7 linked regions of the Rattus norvegicus genome follow. The protein of the gene in region 5 purifies or fractionates together with the protein of the main gene of each other region. This does not show direct contact. Links are inferred from orthologs where the notes say so. Each region holds a gene or a part of one and is shown on either strand. Other genes may lie near its edges. The genes, in order: Nck2, Eps8l1, Nck1, Eps8, Abi1, Brk1 and Nhsl3.

Evidence for each region.
Region 1: the proteins of Abi1 (region 5) and Nck2 purify together in Homo sapiens (affinity purification with mass spectrometry; 3 studies listed by BioGRID and IntAct, counting the BioPlex papers as one, with this or other methods). This does not show direct contact. The link is inferred for Rattus norvegicus from reciprocal best matches to the Homo sapiens genes ABI1 and NCK2.
Region 2: the proteins of Abi1 (region 5) and Eps8l1 purify together in Homo sapiens (co-immunoprecipitation; 4 studies listed by BioGRID and IntAct, with this or other methods). This does not show direct contact. The link is inferred for Rattus norvegicus from reciprocal best matches to the Homo sapiens genes ABI1 and EPS8L1.
Region 3: the proteins of Abi1 (region 5) and Nck1 purify together in Homo sapiens (co-immunoprecipitation; 4 studies listed by BioGRID and IntAct, with this or other methods). This does not show direct contact. The link is inferred for Rattus norvegicus from reciprocal best matches to the Homo sapiens genes ABI1 and NCK1.
Region 4: the proteins of Abi1 (region 5) and Eps8 purify together in Homo sapiens (affinity purification with western blotting; 4 studies listed by BioGRID, with this or other methods). This does not show direct contact. The link is inferred for Rattus norvegicus from reciprocal best matches to the Homo sapiens genes ABI1 and EPS8.
Region 6: the proteins of Abi1 (region 5) and Brk1 purify together in Homo sapiens (co-immunoprecipitation; 3 studies listed by BioGRID and IntAct, with this or other methods). This does not show direct contact. The link is inferred for Rattus norvegicus from reciprocal best matches to the Homo sapiens genes ABI1 and BRK1.
Region 7: the proteins of Abi1 (region 5) and Nhsl3 purify together in Homo sapiens (affinity purification with mass spectrometry; 3 studies listed by BioGRID and IntAct, with this or other methods). This does not show direct contact. The link is inferred for Rattus norvegicus from reciprocal best matches to the Homo sapiens genes ABI1 and NHSL3.

Annotation. Positions count from the first base shown.
Region 1 is NC_086027.1:53,293,979-53,297,478, reverse strand, and holds part of Nck2 (cytoplasmic protein NCK2), read right to left. Parts: intron 2,603-3,500; 5' UTR 2,587-2,602; coding exon 2,361-2,586; intron 1-2,360. UniProt on the Homo sapiens protein: Adapter protein which associates with tyrosine-phosphorylated growth factor receptors or their cellular substrates. Maintains low levels of EIF2S1 phosphorylation by promoting its dephosphorylation by PP1.
Region 2 is NC_086019.1:78,389,026-78,391,634, forward strand, and holds part of Eps8l1 (epidermal growth factor receptor kinase substrate 8-like protein 1), read right to left. Parts: intron 1,037-2,609; coding exon 907-1,036; intron 812-906; coding exon 680-811; intron 415-679; coding exon 306-414; intron 167-305; coding exon 1-166. UniProt on the Homo sapiens protein: Stimulates guanine exchange activity of SOS1. May play a role in membrane ruffling and remodeling of the actin cytoskeleton.
Region 3 is NC_086026.1:109,913,248-109,916,747, forward strand, and holds part of Nck1 (cytoplasmic protein NCK1), read right to left. Parts: intron 776-3,500; 5' UTR 761-775; coding exon 535-760; intron 494-534; exon of another isoform or gene 1-493. UniProt on the Homo sapiens protein: Adapter protein which associates with tyrosine-phosphorylated growth factor receptors, such as KDR and PDGFRB, or their cellular substrates. Maintains low levels of EIF2S1 phosphorylation by promoting its dephosphorylation by PP1.
Region 4 is NC_086022.1:172,215,361-172,219,569, forward strand, and holds the start of Eps8 (epidermal growth factor receptor kinase substrate 8), read right to left. Parts: upstream 2,801-4,209; 5' UTR 2,230-2,800; intron 1-2,229. UniProt on the Homo sapiens protein: Signaling adapter that controls various cellular protrusions by regulating actin cytoskeleton dynamics and architecture. Depending on its association with other signal transducers, can regulate different processes.
Region 5 is NC_086035.1:90,085,028-90,089,042, forward strand, and holds the start of Abi1 (abl interactor 1), read right to left. Parts: upstream 2,801-4,015; 5' UTR 2,737-2,800; coding exon 2,620-2,736; intron 1-2,619. UniProt on the Homo sapiens protein: May act in negative regulation of cell growth and transformation by interacting with nonreceptor tyrosine kinases ABL1 and/or ABL2. May play a role in regulation of EGF-induced Erk pathway activation. Involved in cytoskeletal reorganization and EGFR signaling.
Region 6 is NC_086022.1:148,305,076-148,309,235, reverse strand, and holds the start of Brk1 (protein BRICK1), read right to left. Parts: upstream 2,801-4,160; 5' UTR 2,780-2,800; coding exon 2,662-2,779; intron 1-2,661. UniProt on the Homo sapiens protein: Involved in regulation of actin and microtubule organization. Part of a WAVE complex that activates the Arp2/3 complex. As component of the WAVE1 complex, required for BDNF-NTRK2 endocytic trafficking and signaling from early endosomes.
Region 7 is NC_086023.1:146,874,705-146,878,710, reverse strand, and holds the start of Nhsl3 (NHS like 3), read left to right. Parts: upstream 1-1,206; 5' UTR 1,207-1,342; coding exon 1,343-1,568; intron 1,569-4,006. UniProt on the Homo sapiens protein: Able to directly activate the TNF-NFkappaB signaling pathway.

The sequences.
Region 1 (3,500 bases), on a different chromosome or scaffold from region 5:
TTCCAGTAACACACAAAAAAGCCTACATACACTCAGCCCAGGTGATGATACTGGCTTACTTCCACAACAAACCTCAAGTGGCGAGCTGGCCTTGTTGCCTATAGACAACTTTATACTTTACCTGAGGAGGCAGCAACTGTAAACTGTCAGCTCAGTTCAGTTGTCCTTCCACAGAGCCCTCCCAATTATATTCTCAGACAATCTGAGGCAGTAACCATGGTTGGTGAGGACAATGTACACACTCAGGTATGCTTCCCTACCACTGAGGTAGCGAACCCCTGTCTGATCAGGTGCTATGGATTACTGGGGTTCGAATGTATCTCCTTACCTTGTGCTGAATTTAATCCCCTACAGAGGTAGTAAGAAAGAAGAAACTGGTTCCTATAACAGTGGTTAGAAGTGGGGCCTTTGGGTGATAGCAGTTGCATAAATTCTGTTTACAGAGGGAACAGTATCAAAAACACACACATACAATTCTTTATCCCTCCTGGTCTCTTGCCATAAGGAACTTGTACCATACTGAAAATTTGCCAAGAAGGAGATATACATACAGCCACTTGACTTTGGACCATGAGTGTAAGCCAAATTAAGCAGTGTTCTTTATATAGCCTAACCTCAAGCAGTTTGTTACAGTGTCAGGAAATGAACTAATATACCAGAGGAAGACAAGAGGCACAGCTATGAAGAATGTGATAACCAAACAGGGCTTATGGAGGTATCCATCTGAGAGACTTCTGATGTCATGTTTCTAATCACCCCAACTACACATTAACCAACTGCCCGAAACTGTAGAATAAACTATGCTATCACCGAAGACGAGGGGAGAAGTGCCTTCTCCTTCTGTGTGCAGAGGCCAGCATGGGAATTTGTAAGATAAAAGGTGATACACTGACAGAAAAAGCTACTAAACTTGTCATGATTCTAAGTCAGGGTCCTCTACTGTCTGGATACAAGGAGACAGACAGCTGTGTAGGGGTCCTTAGCACCATGAGGAGGAGTTGATTTACCCAAGATCCCAAACTGTATAATTTATCCAGAGAATGATTAGTGTTTATCTTAATCTCAATATAAAACCCCAGAAGGTAGGAGGCTATCAACATTAATACCGGCCCCAAAACACATACACTACATACACATACACACACACATGCACCACATACATACACACACTCCTACCACACATACACACACACAGCACATACACATACACACACACACACACACACACACACACAGGCACCACATATATACACTACCCACACTCCTACTACACATACACACACATAGCACATACATACACACACACCTATACACACACTATGCACCTACCATATACAACACACCCTACAACTACTCCACACACACAAACACACTGAATACACAGCCACATACATACACATACTATACACATTCCTACCATACACACACACATATTACACACCTACCACATACATATACACCCCACAACATATACACCTACTCCATACACACAAACATACTGAATACACAGCCACATACATACACTACACACATTCCTACCACACACAGCACATACACACACACTATACACCTACCACACACATACACACATACTACACATGCAAACACATACTACATATCTAACACACACACACACCTACACACACACTACACACCTACCACATATAACACACCCCATAACATACATACATACCTACTCCATACACACAAACACACTGTATACACAGCCACATACACACACACACTACACACATTCCTATCACACACAACACGTACACACACACTATACACCTACCACACACACACACACACACAACACATGCATACACACACTATGTATCTAACACACACACACACACACACACACACACACACTACACATGCATACACACACTACGTATCTAACACAGACACACACACAGAGACACAGACACACACGCACACACACACACACACGCACACACACTACACATGCATACACACACTACATACCTAACACACACACACTACACATGCATACACACACTACATACCTAACACACACACACACACTACACATGCATACACACACTACATACCTAACACACACACACACACTACACATGCATACACACACTACATACCTAACACACACACACACACTACACATGCATACACACACTACATACATAACACACACACACACAACACATGCATACACACACTACGTATCTAACACACACACACACACAGACACAGACACAGACACACACGCACGCACGCACGCACGCATGCACGCACACGCACACTGAAGCAGCAGTGCTAACCCTGGCTGTTCCTGTGGGACGACCTGCTATTCCAGGTGGGGTATGGACACTCACCTAGCGTGTCCTTGAGATTCTTCACCAGGGACCCCTTCTTCAGGCTGTTCTTACGCTCCACGTAGTTGGAAGGCACGTAGCCTGTCCTGTTGGCCGCATTCCTCACCCGCCACCACGTCTTGGAGTCGTCCAGCAGCCACAGCCGCTCGTTCTTCCTGATGTCGAGCTCCTGGTCCTGCTGGGCAGTGTAGTCCCACTTGGCTATGACAATGACTTCTTCTGTCATCTTTCATGGAGCCCTTCTGCCAGCAAAACATTTAAAGATGCTCATTAGCTACCTGAACCCCTCTCCTCTGACAGATTTGAAAAGCTGTCAACGACAGCTCCCATGGCCACACTGCCCCCGGTCTCCTCTCAGCCCCTTGAAGCACTTGCCCTTAGAATGACCTACCCGTAGGCCCTAGTGCTGCTGAGAAACAGCATCTTGTAATCAAAGCCTGCAGCCCCTCTCAGTGCACTAAGCACACTGCGCATTTACTGACGCTAGATGCGAACTTGGGGGCAAAACACTCAGAATAATAATCTCATGATTAAAGCGCTCACTTGGCAAGTGACACCGCCCTTACAGCTGATAGGTTTGCACTCCTATTTTCAGCACATGCTGAGGATTTTGAAGATATTTAATAAATATAACACACCCAAACCACTCCTATAAACTCAAATTCAATTAATGTACTACCAATGCACTGAGGTATTTGGAGATGGATGGTAAAATACACCAAGAAAATTTGTAAAAACACTGTTGAAATGTAAACAAAGCCTAGACAACAGCGACGCGCCCAGGCTAGCTAGTTTTGACAATTCAATATAATATGTTAACACTGGAGAAATTAGCTAGGGGCTAATTTCCTGCATAAATAACTGTACAGAACTATTCCTATAAATATAAAATCATACCGTAAAACAAAGCAATACTTGGATATTCACTTCTTTATTCAAATTGCCCAAACTGGGAAATAACCAAAGATACCCTCCAGGAGGTGAACTGCTAAACCAATTGTCTGGTTTAAGGCAGTGGGATGTTTAAGTGCTAGGGAAAGAGCAGAAGAAAATGCAGACGCTTCCTAGACCTGAAGGCAGGCAGCGAGGCCAGAAAGGCTGGGCATGTGGATTTGGACATGGGGTCTCCTTTGAGCAAAC
Region 2 (2,609 bases), on a different chromosome or scaffold from region 5:
AAGCCCTTGGTCTGCAGCCAGGCACGGACCACCGAGGCCTCAGAGCGTGGGCTGAGCTGGGGCTCCGGGGCTCGAAGCCCCGGGGTTACCCGGCTGGGACCCGAACGGCCCTGCGCCAGGCGCGCCTGCAGCTCCTCATTGACACAAAGCATCTGGGAAAATTTCTCTGCAGGAGGGAAATCGTGAAGGGAGGGAGTGCGCACTCAGGGTGCTGGAGCCAGGGATTCGGGAGTCTCTAGCCTGCCCAGAGTGGAGTCGGAAAAGTGAAGATAAGGATCACTTCCCAGAGACTCTCCACTACTTACCCTTGTCGCTGGGATCCAAACTGTTTAGACTGTCGCAACTGTCCCACTGGGGCCGCACCTGAGTGGGGGCTGGAGCTGCAGCAGGTGGGGGAGGAGGTGGGCTAGTCTCCTGGAAGGGAATGAAGAGGGCGGGGGGGGGGGGTAGAGGAGAGAGAGAGAGAGAGAGAGAGAGAGAGAGAGAGAGAGAGAGAGAGAGAGAGAGAGAGAGAGAGAGAGAGAGAGAGAGAGATAAGGCTCCCAGCCCCTATCTCAATAAACTGAACACCCCACTCTCCAAGAAGTACCCTTCACACCTGATTTTCTCCGTCCCCATCCCCAGGACCTAGAATCTAGCCCCCACTTTTCCCTGAAGAAGCAAGAATATGCTGACTTACTAGGTTTATTGCGGAGCTTTGGCTGCAGTGCACCTGAGGTCCAGGGTGGGGTGTCAGGATATTATAGGGTACATAGCCCTCTTGTCCTTGATGGTCCCGAACCTTCCACCATTTGCGCCTGTCATCCAGGACCTAGATGGGAAATAAGCAGAAAATTCTTGCTGGTTCTATGTGTAGTCTATGCAGAACCGGCCAATTCCAGGGTCTCAGGCCCCCACACCACTAACCTCCAACACATCTCGGTGCTTGACAGATAGCTCGCTGCCATTTCGGGCCTGGAAGTCATAATTACACAGAACCCATTTTCTGGCTTTCTCTTCTAGCTGGGACTCAGTTTCCAGTTCTGGATCTTGATGACTAGGGAGAGTGAAACGGGTAGGAGATAAGGAGGTAGCTAGCCTCGATGGTCTGGATTATAAATTGCTAGTATGAGTTGGGGTTAGAGCCAAGCAGAGGCCAGAGCAGGGTCCCAGGTTAATACGTTAATACAGACTTGACATTGGAGTCACAGCTTGAATATAGTTGGCTCATTTCCTTGCCTGGCATCATGCAGTAAACATGATAAAATTACTGTTTAATTCTTTATGGGGTGGTGGGGATTGAACCCAGGACCTTGTGCATGCTAAGGAAGTGCTTCTGAGCTACACTCCCGGTCCTCACTTGCATTTTTTTTGTTCTTAATGTTATTTGTGTGTATTTTGCCTGCACTTATGTGTGTGCACCATCTACGTGTGGTCCTCACAGAGCTGGCTTCCTAGTGCTGGAGTTACAGCCGGTTGTGGGCCACCATGTGGTGCCAGGAGCTGAACCCAGGTCCTCTCTGTAAGGGTAGAGGGTGTTCTTAACCTCTGTGCCATCTCTCCAGCTCCTCACTTGCATTTTATGAGAATAATGAAACTCAGAGCAGATAGTTAGAAACAACAGATCTATACTGATCATCCACTAGGATAACGAGCAAGGTACAAACAATCGCCAATGCATATGCTTATACTGCACTGCATGCCAATCATGTTCATCTCCATCTGATTCTCCCGGAGCTAGCCTGTAGACCCATAAATGCAGACCCACTTTACTTCCTTCCTCCTCCAGAGATTTCACTATTATCTCCCTTCCACCCTATGTGTGGTACAGGGCATTGAACCCAGTATCCTGTGTATGTCAGGCAGATATTGCACCAGCTCCTTACTAGTAGGTTCTAGGCAAGTATTCTACTTCTGAGCCACAGCCCAGACAGGTAAGCCATGGCCATAGCACTTTACTGGTGGATTCTAGGCAAGAATTCTACCACTAAGCCACACTCCCAACCCCTCACTACTAGCTTCTCTGGCAGTCACTCTACTCCTGAGCCTCCAACCCTTTACTGGTAGATTATAGGCAAATGCCATGAGCTACATGCCAGCCCTCTGTTTTATTTTGTGTATATAGATGTATTTGTCTGCATATAGGTCTGTGCATAACCTGTGTGCCTGGTACCTACAGAGACCTAAGAGAGTGTTGGATCCCCTGAGACTGGAGTTACAGATGGTTGTGAGCTGCATGTATGGCTGCTGGAAGTCAAACCCTGGTCCTCTGGAAGAGCAGCTAGGGCTCTTAACTACTAAGCCATTTCTCTAGCCCCTTCCAGGCTCTTTCTTTTTTTTTTTTTTTTTCCGAGGCAAGGCTTTGCTACTTTGCACAGGCTGGCGTTTGAGCTCACTCTGTAGTCCAGGTAGGCCCAGAACTTTCGATCCTCCTGCTTCATGCTTTTGAGTAGCAGGGATGACAGGATTTCAGTAGCAGAATATGGCCATTATTTCACTTTTTATAGGGAAGGAACTGAGGTACGGTGTAGTAGTAAAAGGAAGGTGTAACTTTGTTGGGCCCTGGAAGTCCTTGTCAGGGTCACTCTGAATATTCTCTATGCAGCTAGGTTTAAACTCAAGTTAAGCCA
Region 3 (3,500 bases), on a different chromosome or scaffold from region 5:
TTTTTAAGGGAAATTCATTAACATGTCAATAAAGTTCAGTAATGTGCCATGTAACATAAATTACCAGGAAGCCTAGAATCAATTGCGAATCTCATTCATTTTCCCTTTCTCAATTAGTGGCAAATTTTTTGCAAATCGAAACTCCACAGGAGCTGTTGTAAGAAGGCCAAAGTTGGGCTGGAGAGATGGCTCAGTGGTTAAGAGCACTGACTGCTCTTCCAGAGGTCCTGAGTTCAATTCCCAGCAACCGCATGGTGGCTCACAACCATCTGTAATGGGATCCGATGCCTTCCCTGGTGTGTCTGAAGGTCAAAGTTAGTTCTGCTCATTAGTACCATTTGAATGCAGGCCTAGATTAATATAAACAGCTAACATGATCGTCATTGCCTCTTAAACAGCTGTTAGGAATTCAACTTACATTGTCTAGATAAAACAACTTTGCATACTGCTATATGGATTGTGTTCAAAGAACTAAGTTCCAAAATCCATCTCAAATGAAAGCTGTTGCTTTTCCTCCAATAGGAAACCACTTACCTAAGGTGTCCTTCAGGTTTTTAACAATAGATGCTTTCCGAGCACTATTTTTTCTTTCCACATAGTTAGAAGGGACAAAACCTGTTTTATTCATGGAATTTCGAACTCGCCACCAGGACTTAGAGTCATCCAGGAGCCATAATCTCTCATTCTTCTTGATATCCAGCTCTTGTTCCTGCTGTGCCACATAATCAAATTTGGCCACCACCACCACTTCTTCAGCCATGTTTCAGCAGCCTCACTGTAACACATAGACAATGTGTTTAAATGTTGCTGGAGTGTAACTGTCTACATGCTTGTTCAAAAAGACATGCCTAAACATGTAAGAGGCCAGAAATTATGAATCATACCAGCAAGCCTAACACTCAAAAGGCTGAGGCCAGAGGACTTTCATAAGTTTGAGGCTAGCCTTGGCTACACACTAAGTTTGAAGCTAGAGTGAGCTACAGAGTAAGGCCCTGTCTCAAAAATAATATACAAAACAGGAGACGGGGGCTGGGGTTGCATGTAGTTTAGTGGTAGAGAACATGCCTAGAATATGCACAGCTTTGAGTTCAATTCCCAATACTATAAAAAGAAAAACATCTAAGAACATCAAAAAGTTAAAAGTGATATGAAAAATGCCAACAGGCAAATACTAATTTTTAAAAAGCACTTGTTCCTATTTAGTATTATATAAACTAACTTACATTTAAAACCACCATTAGCAATGAAATTCACTACACAAACAACTGAACATTTTTCTTAATGTGGATAAAATCAAACTTGTATGTAACAAATAACATAGATGCTTTCTGAATACTTTTCTATCCCATATAAGTTATATAGTACAAAATTTAAATATAGTGGTCTAACTACAGGAGAAATAACAAATCCATTATTATGAGGGATTATTTTTAACATACTTATCTCAATAATTAAACAATCAAGGAGACAAAGCATCAAGGTTATAAAATAACACTGTTAGTGAGATATAACAGGCATGTCAAGTGTTACTTCTAAACAAAAGAACATATATGGAACACATAGATACCATCAGTATGAGCTAAAACTTTAAAGAAAGTTTTAGCCTGTAAGTTCAGCAACTGGAGACTAAGGTAGTAGCATCATAACTCCGAGGCTAACTTAGACAACATTTCATATCTCAAAAGTCTAACCCCTTTCATGTTGTTCTCTGGACTGAGAACCAAGTACACTGATATGTGTGTATGAAAAATTCAGTAATAAGGGCAGGAGCAATGGCTCAGCTGTTAAAAGTATTTCCTGTCTTCCGGAGAACTGAGATTTGGTTCAGACTCCCCACCTCAGGTAACTAACAACCCCTGGTAACTCCATCTCTCCTCTCCTCTCCCCTCCCTCTCCCTCTCTCCTCCCCCCTCTTCCTCCTTCTTCTCTGTCATACACACACTAAATAAATTAAAAATATTAAAAATAAAATAAATATTTAGCGCAAGGCCCTGGGTTCGGTCCCCAGCTCCGAAAAAAAGAACCAAAAAAAAATAAATAAATAAATAAATATTTAAATTGGAATAATGAAGCCCATTACTTTATAAACTGGTTTAAAAATTATTTTCAACTTTCATGTAACTGGCAAAAGAATTTATGAAGGAGATGGCTCAGAGTCAGGGCTGCCAGCCATTGCCCAGTGTAGAAGAGTGTGTAACACTCAGGAGGTGAAGCTCCAGTCCTCTCTCTAATTAAAATGACAATTCTGGAGATATTAATCAATAAAACAAAGAAAAAGTACATGTAAATACCGGGAGCTACAACTGTGTACTGCAAAACAGTCAAAGTTAATAGTAACACAAACAACTTTATAAATAAATCTGAAGATAATAAAATACAATGATGAAACTGTATGAAAAATAGTATTAACAAGTCTTCCTATAACATCAACACCAAAGAAAGAAAGTTTTACAGGAAAACTCTACTAAAATCAAGAAGAAATTATATTGATTGATTGAAAGATTGATTGGTGGGATTTTTGGTTTGTTTTTTTTTTTATTGGTTTGTTTTGTATTTTGAGGTAGGGTTTCTCTGTGTAGCCCTGGCTATCCTGGAACTCACTCTGTAGACCGGGCTGGCTTCAATGTCATCAATCTACCTGCTTCTGCCTTCTGAGTGCTAGGATTAAAGGTGTGAACCACCACTGCCTGGCTTATACACATTATTTTAAAAGAAAAAATAGTTTCAATAATAGTTACAACTATTATTCAATAATAGTTCAATAACATATAGTTGCAATAATAGTTTCAAAGGCTGTCTTGAAACTATTTTAGAGTTGATCTCATTCTGCTTTCTTCGGAGAGATTCCTTTCATAAAAGCAGATATATATGCCTCACAAAGGAAGCCAATTCAGCCTTTTGTCTTGGGCATTGATACCAGGTCTGTTTTCTCAACAATGAAGTAAGTACTTTAATCTAGAATTTTAATTTTAATCCAGAAAATTAACTTTAATTCAGAATCCAACTTCCTTTTGCACAAGTATGTCAACAAGATAGAGACATACAAAGGATTTGCAAAAGCCTCAAAATCTGCCACACATTGTTTTATGCTTTGTAAGGGAATCACTTAAGTGAACAAAGATGCTTTAAAAAAGAAGAAAGAAAAAGAAACAACATGCTCTGTAAGAAACACTGATGAGCTAGGATGTAGCAGGTCAGTGGTAGTATTCGTGCCCAGAATGCACAAGGCCCCACGGGTTTGAGAACCATGAGAAAAACAAAGATGAGCAGAAAAACGTGTGGGGGGTGGGGGGGAGGTTACTTGTATTACTGCAACTCGACTGTCTGAAAAGACCTCAGCACAGAGTGTAAATCATTACTGCCATGATACGATGTCAGTTAAAATAAAGGCCGAGGAGACGGCTCAATTGGCAATGTGCTTGCTCTGCAAACAGGAGGAAGAGTCTAATGCCCCAGAACCTATCAAAACGCCAGACAGCAGCACACAACTGTAATCCCAG
Region 4 (4,209 bases), on a different chromosome or scaffold from region 5:
GTATACACACACATCCTCCTTCAAGTGGGGAGAAGTCTGGGTCAAAGAACAAAATGTTTTACATTCCTTTCTCAGAGAATACGTGGAGTTTAAAGTCCACACGACACTGACATTGTGCCTTGGAATTTGTACAAAAGTTTATAACCGAGATAAAAATAAGTCATACCATAAATATCTCCATGAGCCTCACAGTTCTTTCTGCTCCTAAAGGCCGTATGTGTTACTAGAAGGTCATGTGAGGAAGGCCTGTGTTGTCAGCCTTCTTCATGGCCTATATACGATAGACACCTTACAGGAAAATACACACACACAAGAATGATGTTTGGAGCATCACTTAGGCGATGGGGGAATGTCTCAGCGGATAAAGGGCTTACTAAAGCAAGCCTGAAGACCAAGCTTCACACCTAACATCCCTGTGAAAAACCAGAGGCAGCAGTGTGCACCCGTAACCCTAGGGCTTAAGAGACAGACAGATGGTTCTCTGCAGCAGACTGGCCAGCTAGCCTAGAAGAATCCACGCATCTCAGAGTCAGTGAGATAGGCTACCCCCAAAGATAAGACTGAGTAGACACTGGACAGGGATCTCTGACCTCCATTTGCATCCATATATATGTACATATACCTCTTCACACACACAGGCTCACTATTTACATATAAGACACACACATACACACATACACACATACACACATACACACATACACACATACACACATACACACATACACATATACATATACATGCACACGCAGACACACACAACATGAAGACACACACACAACACACAGACACACACACCATACACACATGCACATACGCACACACACACACCATATAAACACACACCATATACACACACACCATACACACACACACACAAGCACATACACAACACACACATACACACAACACACACTCTCATATACACACACACATACACACACACATTCACACACACCCCACAAACACATACATACACATTACACACACACCACACACATACACACACACCATACACACACACACTCTCATACACACACACATATACACACACATACACATACATGCACACACAGACACACACACAAAACACACAGACACACACACAACACATATACACACACACCACACACACATGCATATACACATGTGTACACACACACATACACACACACCGTACCCACATGCACATACACACACACATACCCCCCCACACACTCACATTCACACACACTCTCATACACATATTATGACTTAAACTGAAGAATGTGCAGCCCCACTCCAGAAGAGTAAGTCAGGCAGACACTGACTTTTGCCCTCTGTTGGACTATTGGGCGCCTCTTTGTTCTTACCTAGTGTCAATCCTAGCTTTGTATTTAACTTCTGGTAACAGAGCAAGAAGCAAACGTTTCCTTTCCAATCAGATTAATTGTGACAATCCAGTAAGAACCTCAAAAATAAAAGGCATATAGAGACTCCTACACATTGATAGTCTTGCTTGCCTCTAAACTCAAATTTAATACTAAAATACCAAAATTATAAACTTAGCTATTTTAAAAATAGTTGTTCCTTTACAACTTCCACTAATTGACTATTTAAATATTTACAAGTTCCATTAATACACACAGATTTTAAAAACAAAAACGTTAAACACACATATCCAACTACAGTTTCAGTCCCAAGTAAAATGTTTGCATAGAAGGTCGGCGGTGTTCACTCTGTGGGCTCAGAGCCAACAATAACCTATGAAGGTTAAAATTTGAGTAATAAGCAAATTTTCATAGAACAACTAACACTGTTCAGACAATTCAAAGCAGTTAATATTTATAGCATAATCAAAGTGTTTTGCCTGTAAGATTCATTTTAGGTCAATTTTATGTCTATAGCTTCCAAACTATTAATAGTTCTCGGATCCCTTCTTAGCTAAAAGGTAAACAGGGAGATTACTCTCCTAAAGCAAGCACCAGACTCTTAAGAAGAAAGACCTTTAAATCCCCAAGCAAGGAAACAGGAAGGGAGGGAGGCCGAGGACACTAAGGTATCCCAAGATTTTACCGGGTTCAGAAGCCACTAGGAATCTCAAAGGCAACTAAAAAAAAAAAAAATCATTAAAGGGCCTACTTGGCCTAAAAATAATACTACCTTTTAAGGTCTACAAACATCTTCTGTCATAATTACACCTTTGAGAGCCCTCCTTGGCAAAGAAAATATTCACAAACTCCAACTTACCCTCCTGCAGTGCTCAGGTAAAACTCTTCCAAGTGACCGTCAAGGCAAGACTGAGAGAGCACCGCTCCCTGCTCTCGGACGTGTCCAGTGACCCTTGGTTCATACACCGAGAGGGAGGGACCCTGCTTCAGTTTCGATGTTCCGCTATACTCAACAAAGTCTCTCCTTTGGACTCTCTCGGCCTTAGCTAAGACTTCCTCCTCTTTTTAATGAGGAAATAGCCACTGCTGAGAAGGTAAAGTGCTTGCCCAAGGTGTGGAGAGTGACAGAGTACCAAAGCACAATGAGAGGCATTGATGGAGAGCTGTCTGGGTGCTAGATGTGGTTACTATGGCCACTTTTACGCTGAAGAGTCAGAGTCTAAGGAACTGGGTGTCAATGAGTAACCAAGGGGGAGGTGCAGCAATATGGTGGTTAGATGAGCTAACGAAGAAAGGCTTTGTACAAGAAACACAGAAAAGTAAATGCAGGTACAATAAAATATGTATGTACAGGGCAGCTGGAGATTTGACTAATGGCTGAGAGTCCTCCCTGGCCTGGTGGAGGACCTGGATTCAGTTCTCAGCACCCAAACCCTGAGGCTCACAGCCACCTTGTAACTCCAGCTCCAGGGGATGTGACGCCCTCTTCTGGGATCCTCGGGTAGTACATCCACATGCACGAACCCACCCTCACAAACACATGAGAATAAAGTATTTTCTTTAAAGTAAGCATGTGGTTTCTCTTACGATGAAGAAGATCATCTGGTGCCAAGTCAAAGCTAGATCTAGCGGCCAAGGCAATGGACACAGAGCAAACGCGGTCAGCTGTGGTGGTGTGGAGGCAGAGAGGGACCATTTAAGGACTCAAATGAGAGATGACATATAAGAACATATACGGTTCAAATCTACATTCGGATCGGTGCCATGTCTCCTGAAGCAGACTGCTTCCGAAGGAAATACTCACGGGACTAAGATGATACAGGATTTCTGGCCTTCCTTTGCAAACAGGACATAGCTACTGTACCCTGCTGTACGTAATGGCCCTGGTGCCACACAGGATGGGGAGATGCCTTGGTCAATAAAGTCCTTGCTAGGCAAGCATGAGGTCCTTAGTCTTGACCCCAAACTGACATTTTAAAAGCCAGGCAGGAGCTAGACAGATGTCTCAGTAATTAAGAGCACTGGCTACTTTTATAGAGGACCCAATTTTGGTTCCCCGCAACAAGACGCTGGTTCATAACCATCTGCAACTGTAGTTCTAGGTGATCCAATGCCCTCTTCCAGCCTCTGAGGGCACCAGGCATGCGTGCGGTGCACAGACACACATGCACACTCACACACCTAAAAACAAATATATAATTAAATAAACCTTTTTTCTTTGTCGTTTTGAATGCCAGGTGTGACAGTACACACCTGTAACCCCAGTGTGAGGCAATAAAGCAGGTGCATCCCTGGGGATCCAGAAGTCACCTTAACCAAATCAGCTAGATTTGGCTGTAAGAGACTCTGCCTCAGAAAATACAGTGAATCCCAACCGAGGGACATAACCCTTGGCTACCTATGGCTTCCACACAGAGATGTACACAGATATCCCCTACATATACATACGGATGCACAGAAAATAAAAGTAAGTAAATAAGTGAATAGGTTTGGAGGGACTGGGAGATGTAAAGTTGGTGCTAAGACAATCCATCGGACAAGAGCCATTTTGAGGTGCTTTGTCCACAGTCTAACTGTGGTGAGAAGACAGAAGAAGAAAGCCCGTCCCTGTCTTGGTAATGTGTCATAGGTGCCTGTCTCTGAGAATATTAGGGGAGAAGGCAGAGAACCTGTGGGATAAGCATTTTAGAGTGGAGACCGAATGTGTATGAGATTAAAAAAAGAAAAACTAGTAAGACTCCTCCTCGGGGTTGGGGATTTAGCTCAGTGGTAGAGCGCTTGCCTAGCAAGCGCAAGGCCCTGCGTTCGGTCCCCAGCTCCGAAAAAAAAGAAAAGAAAA
Region 5 (4,015 bases):
AGCACATATATTAAAACTGAAAACACACACAAACATTATAAACAAAGAAAAAGAAATGACACAACTCCTTATCCTAATCAGCACTATTACCAATTAAAGTGGGTTGCTCTAAATTGTGTGTCTGTTCACTTTTTATGTGTAGATGTGTCTATGAACTCCTGCAGGTCCTCAGGTAGTCCAGAAGGTGTTAGATCCCCTGAAGCTGGAGTTACAGGTGGTTGTAAGCGGCCTCATTCAGGGATGGGAACCAAAGATGCAACAAACTCAAGGCTTTTCACACTAAAATAAATAAAAGTTGTACATTTTTAAAAAGATTGATTGATTGATTGATTGATTTCATGCATGTGAGTACACTGTCGCTGTCTTCAGACACACCAGAAGAGGACACTGGATCCCACTACAGATGGTTGTGAGCCACCACGTGGTTGCTGGGAATTGAACTCAGGACCTCTGGAAGAGCAGTCAGTGCTCTTAACCACTGAGCCATCCCTCCAGCCCAAAGTTGTACATTTTTTAGTATCTATAAAATACAAGATCACTTTTCTATTTCCACACTATATCCATATTTCTGTACCATTTTTTAAAGGATTTAACATATTAGACTTATTTTACTTTTGAGTATCTTTGCCTACATGTGTATATGTGTGTGCTTGTGTGTCTGTATGTATGCTGAACGTGTGTTTGAAGCCCAAAGGTGTCAGAAGAAGCAGTGGATCCCCTGGTCCGTAGTTAAGGATGGTTGTGAACCAACATGAGGGTGCTGGGAATTGAACTCGATCGAGTCCTCTGCAAAAGCACCAACTGCTCTTAACAGTTGTCAAGGCACCCTTTCTGCTCCTTAAAATGTGTTTTGTTTTTTTTTTTTTTTTTTTTTGGTTCTTTTTTTCGGAGCTGGGGACCGAACCCAGGGCCTTGCGCTTCCAAGGTAAGCGCTCTACCACTGAGCTAAATCCCCAGCCCTAAAATGTGTTTTTAACCAGCTTCATATATAGTTTTCAGAAACAAGTCATACAGAAGACACAGGAGGCATTCAATAAGTTTATCAGCAGATTACCAGAGTCAAAGGCTGGAAAAGAAGGCATGAAGACAAATTCCTTGGCACACCACTCCAGACAGAATGTTACTAATATGGAAAGTGGCAAATACTTAAGCCTCAAAACAGCATCTCCCTCTGAAAACGAAGTGTACAGGCATCCCCAAGCACAGAAGGCCCTTGCACACTCGCAAGGCACGTTCAGAAATCCTTCAGGTCTCAAGTACAATAACCCTAACTTTTCAAAGATTTCAGGTTTTGCCTTGTCAACAGGAAGTGAGCTTCTAGTCTCAGTATCTGATACAAAGAATTCCACTACTTCATTTGCTTCTACTGCAAACTGTTAGTTTTTACACAACGACAGGAACTACAAGCCAAACCACTGCATACAATTCACTTACAATCGCTACTAAACATAAGCACGCATAGCATAGTAAAAGTGCCAAGAATTTCCTGATAAATTAAGAAGCAATTTTACGTTATGACCCAAAGATTAAATAATGCTTGCCAACCTACTTTATTCATACTCTTCTAAATATTAACTCATGATAGAAATCTCAGAACATAAGCAACGATGACACTACTGCGTTCAAAGGCAACAGTCCAAGAACATTTGGAGGAAGAGAAGTATTTAAGACATTTCCCACTGAATTTCCCTATGAATCATTCGTGCTTTATAATAACCAGTATACATTATCCTGAAGCAGAAGTAAATATGAGGAAAAGCCGGACTTGAAAATCGCCAAGTACGCAGATTTCCTCCAATTAAAAGAATTTTAAGATGAATTTTATCAAACCCTCAGCAATCACTCCCCGCACTGTACAAACGTGACTCGTGACAATTTTTTTAAATAAATAAAAGGCACACCCTCTAGGATGAACTGACATAATCACCCCCACCCCACCCAACCCTCCAACGACACACACCCCGCTTTTCCTTCCCTGCCCATTCCTCACGCAGCTGTCCGGATCTCATCACACTGGGCTCAGGGGCGACAGAGAATTCTGGGGTCCAAAGCGACCAAGGGAGGCTACGGGATTTCCAGGAGGACTTCAGCCAGGGCCGATCCCGGCCAGGGAAGGCTGAGGGGGGTCTTAGGACCAACAGTAGCCAAAAGAGGCAACGAGGAGTACAGCCCGACCAAGAGAAGACTGCAGCGAGTGGAGCCCCGGAGGAAAGACTGCCGGGAGCACGACCCGGCCTGGGAAAGCCGCCGGGGTCTAGGCGCAAACCTCAGCCAGGGCAGGTGGTGGGGAGCAGAGCTGGGCCGGGCAGGCTGAGAGAAGCAGAGCTCGGCCAGGATAGGCTTTGGGGAGCGACTGCACGGGCAGGCGGCGGGGAACGCCGCCGGTCCGGGGCAGGCTGCCGGGAGCGCAGCCGGCTGGGCACGCGGGGAGCGGCTTCAGGGCCGGCGGCGCCCGGGGCGGCCCTGCTCCTCACCCATTTTCTCGCGGCGGCCACTTCCTGTATCGCCGCGGCTGCGGCTGCTCGGGCCAGGGCGGAGGGTGGCGGAGTGGGGCAGCTCCCACCGCACCCAGCCTGCCCGTCGCCCCAGCGGTCCTCGCCGGCCGCCCAAGCGCCTCACCTGTATGTAGTTGTTTTCACAGTAGTCCGCCACCCGGGTCAGGTTCTGGTAACTCTCTATCAGCGCCCTCTTGCCAGACGGGATCTCCTCCTCTAGTAACATCTGCAGCTCTGCCATTTTCCACCCCTCCGCATCGCTTCCTCTCGCGTTAAAGAGACAGAGGCAGCTGAGTCCGACGGGGACCGAAGCGCCGCAGAGATCAGACACTAACCACCCACCCGCCCTCCGCCGGGTATTGTGGGACTGCACCTCCTCCTCTTCCTCTTTACTCTCCCCGCCCCCCTCCACCCAGGACGCACAGCCACCATAGACTCACTTTCTCGCGAGAATCATTTCCCTCTTACAACGAGAGTTTCCACCACGCCCTCTATAGCAATCCTTTCTGGGAATTGTAGTTTCTTCCTGGCTAGGCCGCGCATGCGTTTAAGGTGCTTCCAAAAATCCTGAAAAGAATTTAAAGAACCAAGACCTATACAGTCTTAAATCTAGACTCTTCTCAAGATCCCAGAAGATGGCGCCACAAGGTGATCTAAGCAGCGAAATTATTCCTATGAGAAAACTTTGAAAATTTGCAGAACTTACTTAATTAGGAAATGTCAGTAAGTCAAAGGCATCCAATCAGATAACAATTAAAAACAGAAACTGCGAGACCTGACTTCCTCAGTTTTGTGAGAGACTTTGCCTCAACTTATGCCCCAATTCATTTAAAACCTAGAAAACTATCAATTCTCAGATGTACATCAAGCAGTGTGCTTGCTATGGCAGAAACAAATGGGGCAAGGATAGTTTTCACGCTTAAGAATTTAAAGAAAGTAAATAAATAAATCCTTTTTTAAAAAAGAATTTAAAGAAAGCTGGGCGTGGTCGCAAACGTCTATGGCTAGCAGAGGCGATGGATCTACTTGAGTTCAAGGCCGGCCTGATTTAAAACCGAATTTCAGGACAGGGAAAAAAATTAATGAAGAGTGGCTGCACATCCATTATCCCAGCACTCGGGAAACTGACAATGAACTGAAAAACAGTCTGGGTTATAAAGGGTGATCATGTCTAAGACAGAGAATGAAGGATGGACAAATGCGAGGATGTTAACATTTAAAATAGACAATTTTAGGGCTGCCAATATGACTCAGCAGATAAAGGTGCTTTCTCAATTCAAACCCCAGAACTCATATGGCGGGAGACCAAAACAGCAGACTCCTACAGTTTTCCCTCTGACTGCCACACTACTCCATGGCAAAAGACTAGCGCTCTCTCTCTCTCTCTCTCTCTCTCTGTGTGTGTGTGTGTGTGTGTGTGTGTGTGTGTGTGTGTGTGTACATTTTTAAATATATAATTTCAGAACTTTCCTCTTCTAATTTCTTTTCTCATGCCTTCCTATTCTTTTTTAAGTAATGCA
Region 6 (4,160 bases), on a different chromosome or scaffold from region 5:
TCGATTCTTCCTTGAGGGAATGTTTGTCAGTTCATTTGATTCTTACTTGAGGGGATGTTTTTCAATAAGGAATGCTGTTTAAATAAAAAAGTGAAATATTCCAGTTCTCTGGCAAAGTAGGAGAAATCAACTACGTGGACCAAACATGGAAGTCATTTACACAGAAAGCACACGCCCAGCAAGTGCAACTTAGGGTGGAGTTGATTCCAGCATTCACAAGGTCCTGGGCCAAAACAGAAAACCTCCACAGGGAAACTAGACTATGGGCGGCAGGACAAATGATCAGTTCTCGAAATGTTTGAATCTGCATCATAGGGTTGAACTGCGAGCCCACCTGCCTTGCCCACGGAGTTGAATTCTTTTTCTTATACTTCTTAAATCGGCTTCTTCTGGGGATACGTGAACTCTTATTGACTACAGTTCTCTACCGTAGCCTCCACAGTGACTTACGGGTGTGAGGCTATGGCACTGACACATTTATGCTACTCCCTCACTAATTAATCTTTAACCTCCGTTCCCCGTTGAGAAAATCCATGTAAGCTTACATGGAGCCCTACACATTTTGTAAGTACACTTCTAATCCCAGCACCTGGGAAGCGGAGCCAAGAAGAGGCATCGCAAATTAGAGGACATCCTTGATCAATAGAGTTCCAGGCCAGCATAAAGTGATAGACTAATTATCACAGGAGGGGAAGGGAAGAAAAAGTTGAACACGGTGAACCTAGAGCTCTAGCAATTTCCAAGACTCAAAACCAAAATGGAGTAGGGGAGACGGAGGATGGATGGACAGATTAAGATCTCTTCTTTATGCTGTATTTGAAGGTGGGTGTGAGCATGTACTACGGTACCGTTGTGGGGTCAGAAGACAACGTGTGGCAGTTGGTTCTCTCACCTTGTAGACCCTGACGATTGTATGCAGGTTGCCAGACTTGGTGGCTTTTACCTGCCAAGCCATCTCAACAACCTGAAGGAACGCCTTTGTTTTTTTTTTTTGTTTTTTTTTTTCCGGAGCTGGGGACCGAACCCAGGGCCTTGCACTTCCTAGGCAAGCGCTCTACCACTGAGCTAAATCCCCAACCGAAGGAACGCCTTTGAATACAGAAGATGGATTTTTTTTTTTTACATTGATAGTCTCCCTTCATATATGTCTGTGTCATATCCCCTAGAACTGGAGTTATGGACAGTTGCGAACTGCAGCGTGGGTCCTGGGATTTGTACCTGGGTCCTCTGGAAGCTGAGCAATCTTTAGAGCCCCAGAAAATGGTTCCTTTTTTGTGGCTGTTCTGAGGACCAGGCTGGCCTCAGATGCATAACACTCTTCCAGCCTTCCTCTCTCAAGTGCTAAGAGCACAGGCGCGAGCCACCAAATACAGCAGGACCTGTGTAAGGACCAGTTACCCCTGCTGATTTTTGCTTTGTTCTACCAGGCTGGACTCAAACTTTCTACAAAGCAGATGAGTTTGAGTTCCTCCTGCCTCTGCTTCCTGAGTGCTGCTACTTAGAGGCACAGTGTGCGCCTGCAGGGCCACTGCTCTACAGACAGGGAATCCCTAGTCGCTTAATGATGCGTTTCCGCCTTCTTTTTTGTTCTCTTTTCTTAACAAACAAAAAACAAAACAAAACAACAACAACAACAACAACAACAACACCCAAAAGGGGGGGCGGAGAAAAAGAGAAAACTCTTTACTTTCTAAGGAGTGGAGGGTCTTGTGCCTGCCACTCAGGAGCCCAACACCTGAACTACATCATTCTGCTCTGTCACCTCCATTATACTACTTAGGACTCATCAGGTCTTTAGCTAGAAAATAATCGACTCATTTTAATTTACTTTCCAAAATACAGCACTCTCCCAAAGATGCTGAAAGTTGCTAATTAGTAGAACCACAGTACTCTAGTTGAAAAAGATCACTGGATGCCATCTGCACGTCTTGTATTGTGTAAGAAAGTTCCTGAAGGAACCCTTCCGGAGACCGTAAGGAGTCTGTGACAGGTTTTCAGTCCAGAAGGCTAGGAACACATGCAGAAAGAAATCAAGACTGTCAGCAGCCGGCCACACCTAGGAATAGTTTTTGGAAAAGTAGACTCTGCTGAAAGCAATCTGCCCTGTTAAACCCGAGGAACCAGACAGAAGCACCCAGAACACCTACTATGAAGCAGATACAGGGCTACAAAACGCATTTCCAAGACCCGACAGGGCCCCATCCCTTACAACCCTCATCACTAGAACCAAAGGGAGCTGGGGGAATGAACGGCAGGGGAATGGTTAAACGGGAGCAATAGAAGGCATGGCACTAAGGGCTTTCCGACTTGATCCTGAAGGAGATGGAGAACTATCAGGAGTCTCTTAACAGTATTCGTGACTGTGACACGGCTGCGCACTGCGTGCCAAGTGCAGACTGGCAAGGAAGGGCAGCGCAAACCAAGTCAGACGATGGATGGGCCTAAGAGGCTGGGCAGCGGGCGCGCTGACGTGCGCAAGCGGGGCATGGCAATGGGTAGGGTAGACCCACGGAAACCGCCTAGTGAGGCTCAGGGTGAGGGTCCTGGGGCCGGCAGGGAGCGAAAGAGGAAGCGAGTAGCCGGCACGGCGCGCCTCTCCTGAGCGCCGCCGGCAGCCTCCGATGCCTCCCTCCTCCCAGCCTCCCCTGCTCGCCCGCTGACCGAAAGAGTTGAGAAAGTCCGAGATTTTCTTGATGCTGCTGGTGATGATCTCAATGTACTCCCGGTTCGCCCAGTCCTGGTGAATCTCTCGCTGCACCGGATCCTCTTGTCCCGCCATGGCGGCAGCCTGAGGAAGAGTGACTGCGCAGGCGCCGCGACCTCCACAGGCCTCCAACGCGCCTGCGCTGCCGCCGGCACCCAAGTGTTCGAGCCCCAGAAAGTCCTGGCATTGAGGCGCGCACGCGCAGACTAACTGTCTTCACCGTTCCAGTTTGGCTCCCACGCAGGGGAAAACAAGGCTCCTCCACTCGCACTGTGAAGACTGAGAGCTACCCTGTCCCCGCCTGCACAAACCCGCTGATCACTAGCGGGTCTTGTCGTTAGGGGACGCCCACACGCTCCTACCTCCACCTAGGGTTGCTCCAAGCTTTCTTGCGCTTTGTCAGCAGATTTGGCCACAGTCCACAAATCCCGTTCAAGATGCTTTTCATGCTTGGGTCACAACTCTGCTCATTCTCGTTTTCTTTTAAAATTGTTATTGTTGTTGTTTGTTTTTCGAGACAGGATCTCTCTGTGTAGTCCTGGCTGTCCCTAAACTCACTCTGTAAACCAGGTTGGTCTCGAACTCTGAGATCCACCTGCCTCTCCCTCCTGAGTGCTGGGAGTAAAGGTGTGGGCCACCACCGCCATGCTAAAATTTTTATTCATATTACGTGTGTGTAAGCGTACATGTGACACAACACGCAAGCAGAAGTTACAGGACAACTTTCAGGAGTTGGTTCCTTGCCTTCCATTTTCGGGTGGCAAGTGTCTTTATTAATCGAGGCATCCCACGGATTCTGAATCTCCATATTGACCAAATGAGCAAACTACATTTTTAATGCTAATGCCCAGCGATGGACAGGCTGAAGCAAAATGGTAAGTCTCAGTGTAAACTAGAGCAATTTCTATCAAGAACTGCAAAAGCAATCTCTAACCTTTCCACCGAGTCATTAAGAAAATCGTTAAAGGAAGTGGTCATCGCGCATGCTTGTAACTTCAGCACTCAAGAGACTGAGAGAAATACTTTAACCCTAAGAATTGGGCTTTGAGGTAGTGCCTGCTATAGTAATTGCAGTAAAGCTAAACAAAGGTGGAGTCAACCCTTGTGTGGTGGTTTCAATAGGTTTGGCCTATGTTTGAATACTTGACCCATGGGGAGTGGCTCTGTGAGGAGGTGTGGCCTTGTTGGAGTGGGCATGTCACTGTGGGTGTGAGCTTTGAGGTTTCCTAGTGTTCAAAGTCTGGCTGGTGTGGAATCAGAGCCTCCTCCTGGCTGTCTGCAGAAGACAGCCACCTCCTGACTGCCTTTAGATCAAGTTGGCCTGCTGGGTACCATGCTTTCCACCATGATGAAAATGGACTGAACCTTTGAAACTGTAAGCCAGCCCCAATTCAATGTTTGACTTTCTAAGCGTTTCCTTGTTATGGTGCCTCTTCACAGTGTTGGAAACCTTAAC
Region 7 (4,006 bases), on a different chromosome or scaffold from region 5:
CCTCCTGCTGGGAGCGGCTGGCATTAAGAGAAGACTTGTTTATAAGTGAAAACAAACAGACAGTATTTGCCTTCACAGTTCTGAATGCATGAAGTGCAGACTTACTTTATCCCTTTGCCTGAGGCTCAGCGTGGACAGTAGGTAACCTGCCTGGCCCCCAGGTTCGCCACAGCTGGAAGCCTTGGGGACTTTCAGGGGCTGGAGCAGGTCAGATCACACTCTGCACTGTGGTCCCCTTACAACTTTAGAGTGAGGTCTACTGTGTGCCAGGGGAGATTAGGCTGAGTGATCAATTCCTGTTCGTTTCCTTATGCAGGCAAGGACCAGGAGAAAGCTGTGTGACAAGTGTCAAGTTGATAATGCTAGACAACTCTCAACTCTAACCATGGGACACACAAGACTCTTCCGGGGACCACGGAGGTTTGTTAGCCTCTAGGCAGAGATGAGCTTCAGAATGCTGGCTTTGATCTCCTCCTGGCCTCACTCTCCCTTCTGTCCTAAAGGGAAACATTCCCTACCTTGCTTTCCTCACAGCTTGTAAACTCAGAGATACAAAAGGGCTTGGTCAGCTATAATAAAGCACCAGAGGCCTGCAAGGAAATGAACACAGCATTTTCAAGACTTCTAAAGGTGCTTTCTTACCAGCCTCCCCAGGCACTCAGTAGTCACCTACCTTAAGTCCCACCCTAATTTATCTTAGTTGAGCATCTCCATGGGAAAGCCCGAGTCTTAATATGAGTGCCCTGGGGGAATCACAGCCCTGTTAAGGGTAAACTGAGGCCGGATCATCCCACTCTAGGTGCTCAAGAATGAATCAGGAACAATCAGGAACACAGAGCATTGCTGGAGGCTGGGGCCCCCCGCTGTGGTCCTGAGCCAGGGGAATGCCTGCCACAGGTCCTAGGTATCTGGGCAAAAGTCTTTCCCAACCGCAGGAGACACCGGATGGTTCAAGCCCAGGACCTCGCTGCGCCCTTTCCTGCCTTACGGATCCCAAACTTCTTCAGAGAGACAGATCCTGGAAATTTGGGGAGTGGGGACGAGGAACCCCTTCTCTGCAGCCGGACCTCGCCCTCGGGGCACGGCCGGTGGGGAGGGGCGGTTTGCCGCTGCGCTGCTACCGCTCCCCCCCTGCCCCCGACGGCCGCTCCCGCCGCTCGCGCCCCGCCCGCCCCGCGGCCCCGCCCGAGCTGCCCCCGCCCCCGCAGCTCTCCCTCGGCCTCCGCCGCCCAAACTTTTTTCTCCGGGCGCGTCTCCAGCGGCGGCCGCCCCCGCGCATGGGCGCCGCGCTGCAGGGGGCCTGACCCCCGCCGCTGGCACCGCGCGTCCCCAGCCCCGCGCCATGGCGGCCCGCGCGCCCCCCGCCGCACCTGCGGCCGACGAGCCTGGGAGCCCCGGCGGCCCCCCGCGCAGGAAGAAGTCCCGCTCCGGCCTCCGCCGCGCCTTCAGCTGGCTGCGGGGCAAACGGCGCAAGAAGAAGGCGGCTGGGGCCGAGGGCGCCGAGTCCGCCGCCCCGCGGGCCAAGAAAGCGGAGGACAAGGCCAAGCGGTCCAAGGGCAAAAGCCGAGGTGAGGTGGCCTGGCACCTGGGTTGAGCGCGCCAAGGGTGTGGCAGGGTGGGTCCTCTGGGGTGGGTGGGTGGGGGTCGGCTGTATGTGGACGGCTTGTCCCTTAGGCAGTGGTTTTGGATGAAGTGAAGAGCCCAAGGTACCATAAGATAAGACCTGCGCCGCTCCAGGGACACAGTCTATCCAACTTTGAGGGGCAGAGACCCCTGTCTGGGGCAGGGGTCCCCCGGTTTAAGCAGGAAGTGCTGGCTGGCTGGCCCTCCTGGTGGAAAGACACTTCCCCTCTCCCAGGTTCTGCCCTCTGCTGAGTCAGGGGGTCGGAGATTTGACACTGGCCAGGGGCCAATGGGAGAGGCAGGTGGCCTTGGGTCTTGGAATGGCAGTCTCTTTGGGTCTTTAAGGTCAGCCTACTCAAAAAGGAGGTTTTTTTTTTTTTTTGCCCTCCAGGTAGATCCTGGTTACCAGCTCCACAAAGTACTCAGCGCGGAGTCCTTTGCCTTAGGTTGTTAGCAGTGTTAGCTTTTCCCATCTCCACACCCCACACCCCCCTTACCTGGGCCAAACCACAAGCATCCACCTCCTGAGTGGTGAGATCACCATCCTGAACCAGAGGCCGCTCCTCCTCTCTCAGTACTCTCCCTAGTCCCCGTAGGAACCTGCTTGTGTTGAAAGTGGGGAAACTGAGGCGCAAGTGAAATGGGCTCTCCAGGTGAACTCCAGCAGCCCTTTCCGAGTCTTTGGAAGTTTTGAGCCCATGGCTCTCCCTGGAACCTAAGGGATGGGAGGCCCGAGAAACAGAAACGGGAAGGAACAGGGAGTCTTCTATCCCTGTTAAGGTCACTGTACTTTTGGCCACTTGTCCGGCTTTCCCCTCATCTCCTGCTTCTACCTTCGGTTTGGTAGGGAGACCTTTAGTCTCTGCTAGAGGGTAGAGAGGCCAGCCGCTGCTGAAGTTTATCTTTCCTATACCGCCAAGTTAAAGTGTTGAAGGTGAGGAAGTGGCCTGGATCGGGGCCCATTCCAATCTAGCTGTGTTTCCCTTCGGTGTCCTTTAACTACCTCTGGCAAGTTAGAAAGAACGTTAGGGGTCAGGAAGAGGGTGTAAAGCCTCTTGTATGATTGCATCCGGCCCATCTTCCTTTTGGAAAAGGGCCCCGCTCCCTTGCAGCCCAGCCACAAATAGAAATTTGGGCGCTTAGATTGAGATGGATGGGCCAAGCCCTGAGGGAAGGTTTGCTTGGGGTGGTGTTTCCAAGTGTTCTCCAGCCCCTAACTGGAGGGGAATGTGTCCCAGGGCTCCCCACTAGAATTCAGGGTGAAGTTATACCCCTCTGACACAGAGAGCTTGTGTCAGAAAGGCAGCAATACGGGTTGTGGTCAGATGGTCAGGCAGGATAGTGGTTGAGTGGGCTATCTTAGGGAGGTGACTCTCTTTTTCAGGTGACCAGCCTGGAGGCAGAGGGCTATAGGGGTAAGTTAGTACTTGAGCCTCCTAGGGTTGGCAGGTCAGCGGCCTAGCCTCCTGTCTTGTGTTTGGTATTGAGTAGCACTGGGATTTCTGGGCAATAGGCTGGCCTCACAGAGTCCACGTGCCTGGGTGACACCCTCTGCCCTGAGCGGTTGTCTTTCCGAGGCTGCAGGTGGCCGCAGGTACTTCTGAGGGCAGCCTGCTCCCTTTTGCTCCAGCCTCCAATTGTTCAGATTGTTTCCCTGTCACCTGCCTGGGCCAGCTTCTTTTCTGTTTATTAAGAGAAATAAATCCGATCTTTCTAATCTCCACTGGCCAGGAAGGGGAGGCTGGAGGCTTAACTCTTTCAGGGCAGATGACCATCAGAACGGAGACTGGGGAAGGAGGGATCTACTAGGAGCTTTTCTGGAAGGACTGAGAGGCCTTTGTGGGAAGCTCAATGGGTCCGCCACAGTCTCAGAACCAGAGATCGAGAGACACAGGTCTCAGCTCCCCTTACTGCTCTTCTGTAAACCGGGAGATGGTGCTTACAATGTGATTTTGAGCTGCAATCTCCTGTGCCCCACCTCCCTTCCCACACTCTTCTTCCCCTCATAGCCTTAGCAGAAAGGAGGAAACCTGACATTGATGGATTACTCTGAATGTGTCAGGAGACTTACATTCATTTCCTCACTCGATCCCATTTGCAGAGCTGGACGTAGTGGCAGCACACCGCCAGCATTGGAGTTGCTGAGGTAGGAGAATACATTTGAGGCCAGCCTAGACTACATATCAACACCTCTTCTCAATGGGGGTGGGGGTGGGGGTATCCCATGGGGCAAAAACCCTGAGGCTTAGTGACGGCGAATGACTGATTTGACAAAAACTCAGATTGATATTCACAGTCAGATGCTTCAGAAACCAACATGATTCTTCAGAAGACACAGAGGGGAGGCTCGAAGGTCTCACGCAGCCCACTCTACAGAGAGGCA